2 linked regions of the Xenopus tropicalis genome follow. The protein of the gene in region 1 interacts with the protein of each later gene in a biochemical or structural test. Links are inferred from orthologs where the notes say so. Each region holds a gene or a part of one and is shown in the gene's direction. Other genes may lie near its edges.

Region 1 (4,221 bases):
AGACTACTTGTACTTTTATTTAAGAGTTAAATATAAAATTAAAGGGCCAGTATCCCCAGGAAATAGAAATAGTTACATAGTTACAATGACCCAAAAAGAAAATAAACATACAGTTCATGTAGTCTGAAGGCTGATCTGATGGCTTCTTCCCCAGGGTCAGTGATCAGAAATGACTGCAGTGATTGGGAAACAACTTAGGGGAGAATTCTTGAGGGCACTGAGCACACCACAATCGCCTTTTTAGACAGGATGGGGGGTTGGGCTTTGTTTAGTCAACAAAAAGATGCCAAACACAGCACTGCTGGTAGCAAATAAACTGCCATGAAAACACATTTTAGGAGTTTGCCTGGTTGCAAGGGTACACTGGAGCTTAGCAACCGGAGAGCTGCTGGATTAACAAAAGTGGAGAGCTCCTGAACAAAGAGCTAAAGTACCAAAAGGAATATCACTATCACTTTAATGTAAAGGGGAACTAGCCCTGTAACAGTAATGTTGGATATTGCTTGCAGGAGGGGTCAGGTAAGTGTATGTGTGTATGGGGAGTTAAGGCAATGCCTGGCTGACAATCTGTTTACATTGGGTCCAAAGTTTATTGCTTAGAATTTGGGCAATTCAGGTTGGGACAGTACAAGGCTGGGCATAGGGGGAATTAGAGAAAGGAGCTGAGCCAGGGGAAAGATGGGGGCCACATATTGTTATCTCCCCCACCCAAACATATACAAAATCGCACCGACTCTGATTGAATATCTTAGCTACAGTTGGGCAATGGGAACATTGGCACTCACACTGCATAGGTGCCTTGGTCTGACCACTCATTCAACCCAAACATCTCTGCCCCCTTTGCAGACTGAATATCCCATGGTGCAGTCAGAACCCTGACCCTGCCAGCAATTGTGTGGGGGCAGTTAGGGGCAAAGTCCCCCAGTTGTAGTAGTACTTACAGCCAAGCAATACAAAGGCATTCAATAATAAACAAAAAATCAAAGAGCCGTCCCATTAATACAGAGCGCTCCTACTAATTCATGAAGGAATGCAACAAAAATGAAAATACTACCGGTTAATTATTTAGTGCAACCTAACCGGAGATCACGTGATCCAGCAGACCACGTGTTCCAGCCCTCATACCCCCGTCTCTATAGGAGACGTCCAACCATCTTACGACTAGTAGGAGGCCCCTGCGTGGTGCACGGTCATTGGTCATCGCCCGGACCAATCAAAAGCAGCCATCTGTGTTCCCTGAATGGCAGTGCGGCCGGCCCAACCAGAAACGGACACCGGTGCGGCCGCAGCCAATGGAGTGACAGGCGGAGGGAGGGAGCGGCGTAGCTATATATAAGCGGCTGTCGCTGGTTGCGAGGTGCTTAGTGGTTCCTGGACGCTGTGCTTGACAGGTCTTTTGAAGGGGCATCACCATGGCCCGCGTTGCCTTCCTCATCCTGCCGCTGCTTGCGGCTCTGTGCATCGCAGATCCTGCTGTTTACTTAAAGGAAGAGTTCGCTGATGGAGGTATGGAACGACTTCATGGCATTAGAGCTTGAAGGCAGGGACAGTAAAATACGGCTGGGTTTAACTGCAGCTCCCGGCATGCTCAGCTAGAGAGAACGCATTCTTTTGCCTTTCCCTTAATACAAGTGCCCATTGATGCACGGATAGATAGCACTGAGGGGCTGGGTATGTGACTGAGGCGCTGTAGCTCCTATGTAGTGATAATGCCTGCCCCCTGTTATACAAATACAGCCCCCCTCATTGGCCAGTAATGCCTTTACATTGGCTCAGGCCACCTTGCTGTCCCACTCTTCCTCATGTATTATGTAGCTGCACTACAACTCCCAGAAGCCTCTCCTGGCCAGTAATGCCTTTACATTGGCTCAGGCCAGATGGCTGTCCCATTCTTGCTCATGTATTATGTAGCTGCACTACAACTCCCAGAAGCCTCTCCTGGCCAGTAATGCCTTTACATTGGCTCAGGCCAGATGGCTGTCCCATTCTTGCTCATGTATTATGTAGCTGCACTACAACTCCCAGAAGCCTCTCCTGGCTAGTAATGCCTTTACATTGGCTCAGGCCAGATGGCTGTCCCATTCTTGCTCATGTATTATGTAGCTGCACTACAACTCCCAGAAGCCTCTCCTGGCCAGTAATGCCTTTAGATTGACTCAGGCCAGCTGGCTGTCCCACACTTGCTCATGTATTATGTAGCTGCACTACAACTCCCAGAAGCCTCTCCTGGCCAGTAATGCCTTTACATTGGCTCAGGCCAGCTGGCTGTCCCATTCTTGCTCACGTATTATGTAGCTGCACTACAGCTCCCAGAAGCCTCTCCTGGCCAGGGGCTTTAGCTACTAAAGGGTGTAACAGATCCCTATATAGTGTTGGCAGTGGAACTGCTGCTATTCAGACTTCACCATGATCCAGATAATATAAATATATATATATATATATATTTATTTTGTTATTATTATTGCTATATTATGTGCATTAAGCTGGATTACATAGTTATACATGGGCTGGGCACCTTTTTGGCTTTAGGTAGGGCTAGTAGGGGGGATGCTGGGAAGTGTAGTTCAATAGAGGGGATGCTGGGAAGTGTAGTTCAGTAGGGGGGGATGCTGGGAAGTGTAGTTCAGTAGGGGGGGATGCTGGGAAGTGTAGTTCAGTAGGGGGGATGCTGGGAAGTGTAGTTCAGTAGGGGGGGATGCTGGGAAGTGTAGTTCAGTAGGGGGGGATGCTGGGAAGTGTAGTTCAGTAGGGGGGGATGCTGGGAAGTGTAGTTCAGTAGGGGGGGATGCTGGGAAGTGTAGTTCAGTAGGGGGGGATGCTGGGAAGTGTAGTTCAGTAGGGGGGGATGCTGGGAAGTGTAGTTCAGTAGGGGGGATGCTGGGAAGTGTAGTTCAGTAGGGGGGGATGCTGGGAAGTGTAGTTCAGTAGGGGGGATGCTGGGAAGTGTAGTTCAGTAGGGGGGGATGCTGGGAAGTGTAGTTCAGTAGGGGGGGATGCTGGGAAGTGTAGTTCAGTAGGGGGGGGGGATGCTGGGAAGTGTAGTTCAGTAGGGGGGGGGGGATGCTGCATGTTGCAGATCCTCCTCATTGAATAAATCCCAATTGTGTTCTGTTTGTAACCTTGGCTGTGTCCCCTGCAAACAAATCTAGTGGATCCCCTGCCATCTGTACAAATATTTGTGGGGCAGAACAGCTGGCCGAGGGGGCGTGGCCCTGCGCTGACACCCGGGTCTGAGTTGTGGGTGTGGGTGCTTTGTGTAATGCAGTAAGGCTCATACAAGCTGGGCCCGTCACGTCGGCCTTCCCATACATGGAAGCTGCCGGAACATGGTGGTGTATAGTATTCTGCCCCAATCCTTCCCATGTATTTGCATCATTAAAGCCGGCCCTGCAGCCCAGAGAGTGCCTGCTGAACCTTCTGGAAGCAGCGGGGAGGCGGAGCTGGGGTTAATGGCCGGCTCTAGCCCCTCCTACCATCTATACATAAGGAAAGGGAAAGTGGAGGGGGGAGGTGATGGGGAATGCTGCAGTATAAGGGATCCTTACCTGAGCCTGGTTAGAATGATAGTATTGTGTGTATTTATTGCTTGTAATGCTCCGGTGCCTGCTGTGGGGGGGGATAGAGTGGCCATTGTGTCTGGGACTATGTGACTAGGCATCGGCTTGCATTACAGCTGCACAAGATGTGGGAGATGCCATGTTTGCTAGGCAGAGATCCATTCCCCCACCTATGGGGAGTGCCCCTGCTGAATATGGTAGCACCCAATTGTAACTGGGGTTATGGGAATATTTATTGTATGTAATTGTAGCTTCTAGTTTCTGTTCTAGTTTGATCTGCCCCGTGCCTAGGTATGTAGGGTGCCCCCCCGTGCCTAGGTATGTAGGGTGCCCCCAATGTATGTATATAGGGTGCCCCTGCATTAGCAGAGTAGGGTGTCTCTCTGCCCACTGAGGATGGGGTTTTCCCATTGCCCATATAGTGAATGCATTAGCAGTGCATGGGCTGCCGCCGGTTGTGCCTCTCTATGCGTCTATGGAAAGAGGGCATGGTACTAACTGGCACAGATAGTTGGGCATCCTTCTGCTCGGGTATGTAGGGTGGCACATTGAAGTAGCCCAGTAAGCCATTCTAAGAATCAACTTTAACCTGTCGTGTTCTTCTCTATCAGATGGGTGGTCGCAGCGCTGGGTAGAATCCAAGCACAAATCTGACTATGGAAAG
Region 2 (4,257 bases), on another chromosome or scaffold:
AACCATGCTGGCACAAACTCATAGTATTTTGATTTGCAATGCAGTCAAGTACCCTATCCCTTATTACGCCCCTCCAAAAGACTTTCTACTGCTGATGTCAGACTAACAGGCCTTTATTTTTACAGCAATATTTTAAAAAAAAATAATTTTGCATTCCTTTAACTCCTTGCTGCAATTTTTTTTATATCTTTGTAACCTTAAGCCCTGCTGAAATCTCTATCCAAAGGGATTGACCACCCTCCCTATTGCTGTCCCTGGTAATTTCTTTAGCACTTGGCTTTAATTATGGCTTTACACTGTCCTCCGCCACCCTTTTCAATATCGTTGTACCTCCTAAAAAGGGTGTAGTCATGTAAATTCACAGCCCAATCACATTTTTCATCAGGTTTCAGTGATACCAGTCATAACATAATTTTCAGTATATGCAATATACTTCAGCTCTCATAATTTCCCTGACAAGCTCCGTGCATTGCCAGCATGCAGCAGAGGTTACTACTTTTCCCCTTAGTTAGATCTAAGGTTACTATTAGGTTGTTTTCTTTGTAACAGAGGAATCTCTCTAGCTGGTATACTGTATGCCTCCCTCACTCCTTCCCCAAGCCCCCCAGGTCTATACTAGCTTCCCCATAATCCTCTAGCTCACGCCCCCCCTTGCCTAGCTTAAACACTCCAGCCTCTTAGCCATTCTTTCCCCTACCACGGAGGACCCCCTTCCATTGAGGTGCAATGTGTCATGGCTATGTAGTTTGTACCGACTACTACTACCCACTACGTTTTGTAAAGGTTTTTACTCTGTACACAAAACTAACTGCAAATCTTGTAAAAATCACAAGTGTTATTAATTGAATGAACAGACAACATGACAATGAATATCTAATATCTTCAAAAATAAATGATACCATGAATTAATATGGGTTCCAGAGAATTTGAAAAATAAAAGTGTATTACAATATTCTTTGCCCATTTTCTGGAGCACGGAGACCTGTGGCTGCCCTCATGAAGGGGAAGGTGGGGGAGAGATATGTAGGTCTCCCCCTCTTTTCCTTACCCATCCTCTAACTTGTACATGATTCAGATGCAAAAGCTAGGGCATGGCAGAGGAATGCAGGCTGCAATAGAGTCCTGTCCTTGCCATCTTTCCTATGGAAGGTATAGGGCCCTGTTAAGTGCAGTGTTTTTATCGTGTTTAACACACATATGACCATTGTCCACATATAAAGAAGAGGTGTCTAGTTAGATATGCTGAAGATGTACTAAAATGCATATTAAAATAGCTACAGTGTAACCATTAGTCTGTGTGTAACCTTATTGTGTGGTATATAATATGTAACATTAAAACAAGGCAGTGTAGAGAAAAAGAAAGAAAGCATGGCCAGATGGCCAAAGTTCAGTTGCATAACTGAGTTTGTTTTTGTAAGTACAAATATACACTTGTAAAATGAGCATTTGGTTCTATTAGCAAATGTTTAATTAAGACTGCTGGCTCAAGAAAAAGAGGTGTCTATAACCTAAAATACTAAGCATTAGCCCAGATGTAAGAAATATACTACTATGGCTCTCCAACCAAACCTTGCCAAGGACGCATAAATAAGCAATATCATCCCTTTGGAGTTTTTCTATAATGTTAAATAACATTATTGTTTTCTCCTATCATTACAATTTTACTGTACATTTACTGTACATTTAAACAGAAAGCAAAACTACATGTTGAAACGTACCTAAACACCTGCAGACGTATGCTCGGGATTTACTTAATATTCAGAAAAACTTTCTCCGTGTTACTGGAATGTTTTTTTTCCTTCCTATGCCTATTTTGGTAAGTACAATACTTGGCGTGCCATATATCGTCACGTGTATTTAACCATATAAATAATGATAGGAATTAATTTATCTGTTGTCATTTTTTACTGTACAAATATTCTTTTTTTTAGTGTTTTCGTTTTTTAGTTGTTATTTGTTGTATTTATTTAATTTATTATTTTAGCTTATTCAATGTAAAAGCTTTGATTTATAATAAAACCATTTCCTGCAACTTCCATTAATTGGACCATATTAAAATTAGTATAGAAAATATATTTTTTTGATGTAAATTCTATAGCAATTTAAAGTTTAAAGCATGGTTACTATTCCAGCTATAAGGGAATTACTTACTATAGAGTATTATCTATCTTTGATCTTTGCAGTATAAGTATTACCTGTGAAAAAATGAATCTATTTTTAACTTAACTAAATACATACATAAAGATATATATGCACTGTTACTCAGAATTGGACCTGTTATCCAAAATGCTCTGGACCTCGGGTTTTTCAGATAAGGGGTCTTTCTGTAATTTGGATCATTACATTTTGTCTGCTAAAAATCATTAAAGCATTAAATAAACTTAGTAGGATTGTTTTGCCTCCAATAAGAATTCATTATACAGGTATAGGACCTGTTATCCAGAATGCTCAGAACCTGAGCTTTTCTAGAAAAGGGATCTATCTTTAATTCGGATCACAATACTTTGTCTAATAAGAAATAATTTAACACAACATTGAATAAACAGTACAAGGTACTGTTTTATTATTACAAAGAAAAGTGAAATCAAAAATATTCATTATTCAGTTAAAATGAAGTCTATGAGAGATGGCCTTCCCATATTTTGGAGCTTTCTGGATAATGCTTTTCCGGATAACAGATCCCATACCTGTATCTTAGTTAGGAACAAGTCAGGGACAAGCAAAAGCTACTGTTTTAATATTAAAAAGAAAAATGAAATTTGTTGATTTTGAATTAGGTGATTTAAATGGAGTCTTTGGGAGATGACTTTTCTGTAATTCAGAGCTTTCTGGATAATGCGTTTCATCATAAGTGCCTTAAATGTTTAAAAAACTTAAATAAAATATGAATAGGTATTCTATTACAGTTCTCTGCTATTTTATCTCAATCTACCTATCCCTAGTGATAGATAATGAGCGAATCTGTCCCGTTACACTTTGCAGTAAAATTCGCAAAACTGTGAAAAAATTTGTGAAATGTAATTCTTTGTCATAATGTGGCTTTCGTCAATGGCGAAATGCAAAAATTTGCCGGGAATCCATGCCTGCCGAAAAATTTTGCTTATCCCTATCTATCACTCTTTCTAATGATTTTCTAAATTATCTGAAGAATGCTTACAACAAAACTAACAGAAAAGGGAAGGGAAGGTTACAAAGGCATATAGTTAATATTTTATAGAATATATCGATTAGCTTGATGGGTTGCTGGGGTTAGCTTGGGTTGCAAAAATGTACCTTGGTACATTCAAACTTCTACTTACGCAAAATAAACTGCTGTTTTTCCCCATCCCACACATTGTTTCCCCCCTTTTCCTTCACATTGTTTAGTTATGTTTAAAATGAGGAAAGATAGCATGTTTCAGGTACAAAGGAAAAGTAAATGACTACATTTGCTAAAATGTAAAAAGACAGAACATACAGTATATCTGTTGGTGCGATCTCCATGCAAGACAGCTAACAGAAAACTTAGCAAAATTAGAAAAAGCAAATTATAAATTCAAATAAAAGTCCTGTCTGAACAACATACATTATAAATAAAACCTCTTTTTTTTGCTTTAGGTAAGGTTGAATATGATAAAAGTGCTGAGTTTATTGATGCTTTGCGTGTGCCTAAAAGCAGATAATGGCAAATGTGAAGAAATGACCAGTACTTGTGCAGTCGTTACATGTGGCGCACACAGCTCAACTGGATTGCCTGGAAGGGATGGAAGAGATGGCAAAGAAGGCCCAAAAGGAGAAAAGGGAGATAAAGGTAATGGGTAAAAACCTTTAAAGGATAAATACCAGTAGGCTATACACTAAACTATATTGCATTACCGTTCATGATGTGTAGTTGATAAGTATTTTTTTTAACTATACACTGATGTGTTGGGGTTAAGGAGAGAATACATGGATAGAAACTATATTTAGAAATGGAATTTCTTATCCAGAAATCCAATATCCAAATTGTTCTTAATGCCATTTCCCATGCAGTCTGTTTTAAGCAAATACTTATTTTTTTTCTCTGTAATGATAAAACAGTACCTTATTACCTTATACTTGAGGGGAACTAAGCTGCATAAATCCATATCGGTGGCAAAACAATCTAACTAGGTTTATTTAATGTTTAAATGTTTTTTATTAGGCATGATGATTCCAATTACTGAAAAAACTCTCTGCATAATAGATCTCATACCTGTATATATTCTACCTGGTTTTTCTTGCATTCAAACCAAGGGA

What was found.
Region 2: the proteins of calr (region 1) and mbl2 form a complex in vitro, tested with the Homo sapiens proteins (2 studies listed by BioGRID and IntAct). The link is inferred for Xenopus tropicalis from reciprocal best matches to the Homo sapiens genes CALR and MBL2.

What each region holds. Positions count from the first base shown.
Region 1 is NC_030679.2:139,718,429-139,722,649, reverse strand, and holds the start of calr (calreticulin precursor), read left to right. Parts: upstream 1-1,378; 5' UTR 1,379-1,412; coding exon 1,413-1,506; intron 1,507-4,168; coding exon 4,169-4,221. UniProt on the Homo sapiens protein: Calcium-binding chaperone that promotes folding, oligomeric assembly and quality control in the endoplasmic reticulum (ER) via the calreticulin/calnexin cycle.
Region 2 is NC_030683.2:50,573,768-50,578,024, forward strand, and holds the start of mbl2 (pulmonary surfactant-associated protein D), read left to right. Parts: upstream 1-1,404; 5' UTR 1,405-1,786; coding exon 1,787-1,816; intron 1,817-3,597; coding exon 3,598-3,790; intron 3,791-4,257. UniProt on the Homo sapiens protein: Calcium-dependent lectin involved in innate immune defense. Binds mannose, fucose and N-acetylglucosamine on different microorganisms and activates the lectin complement pathway.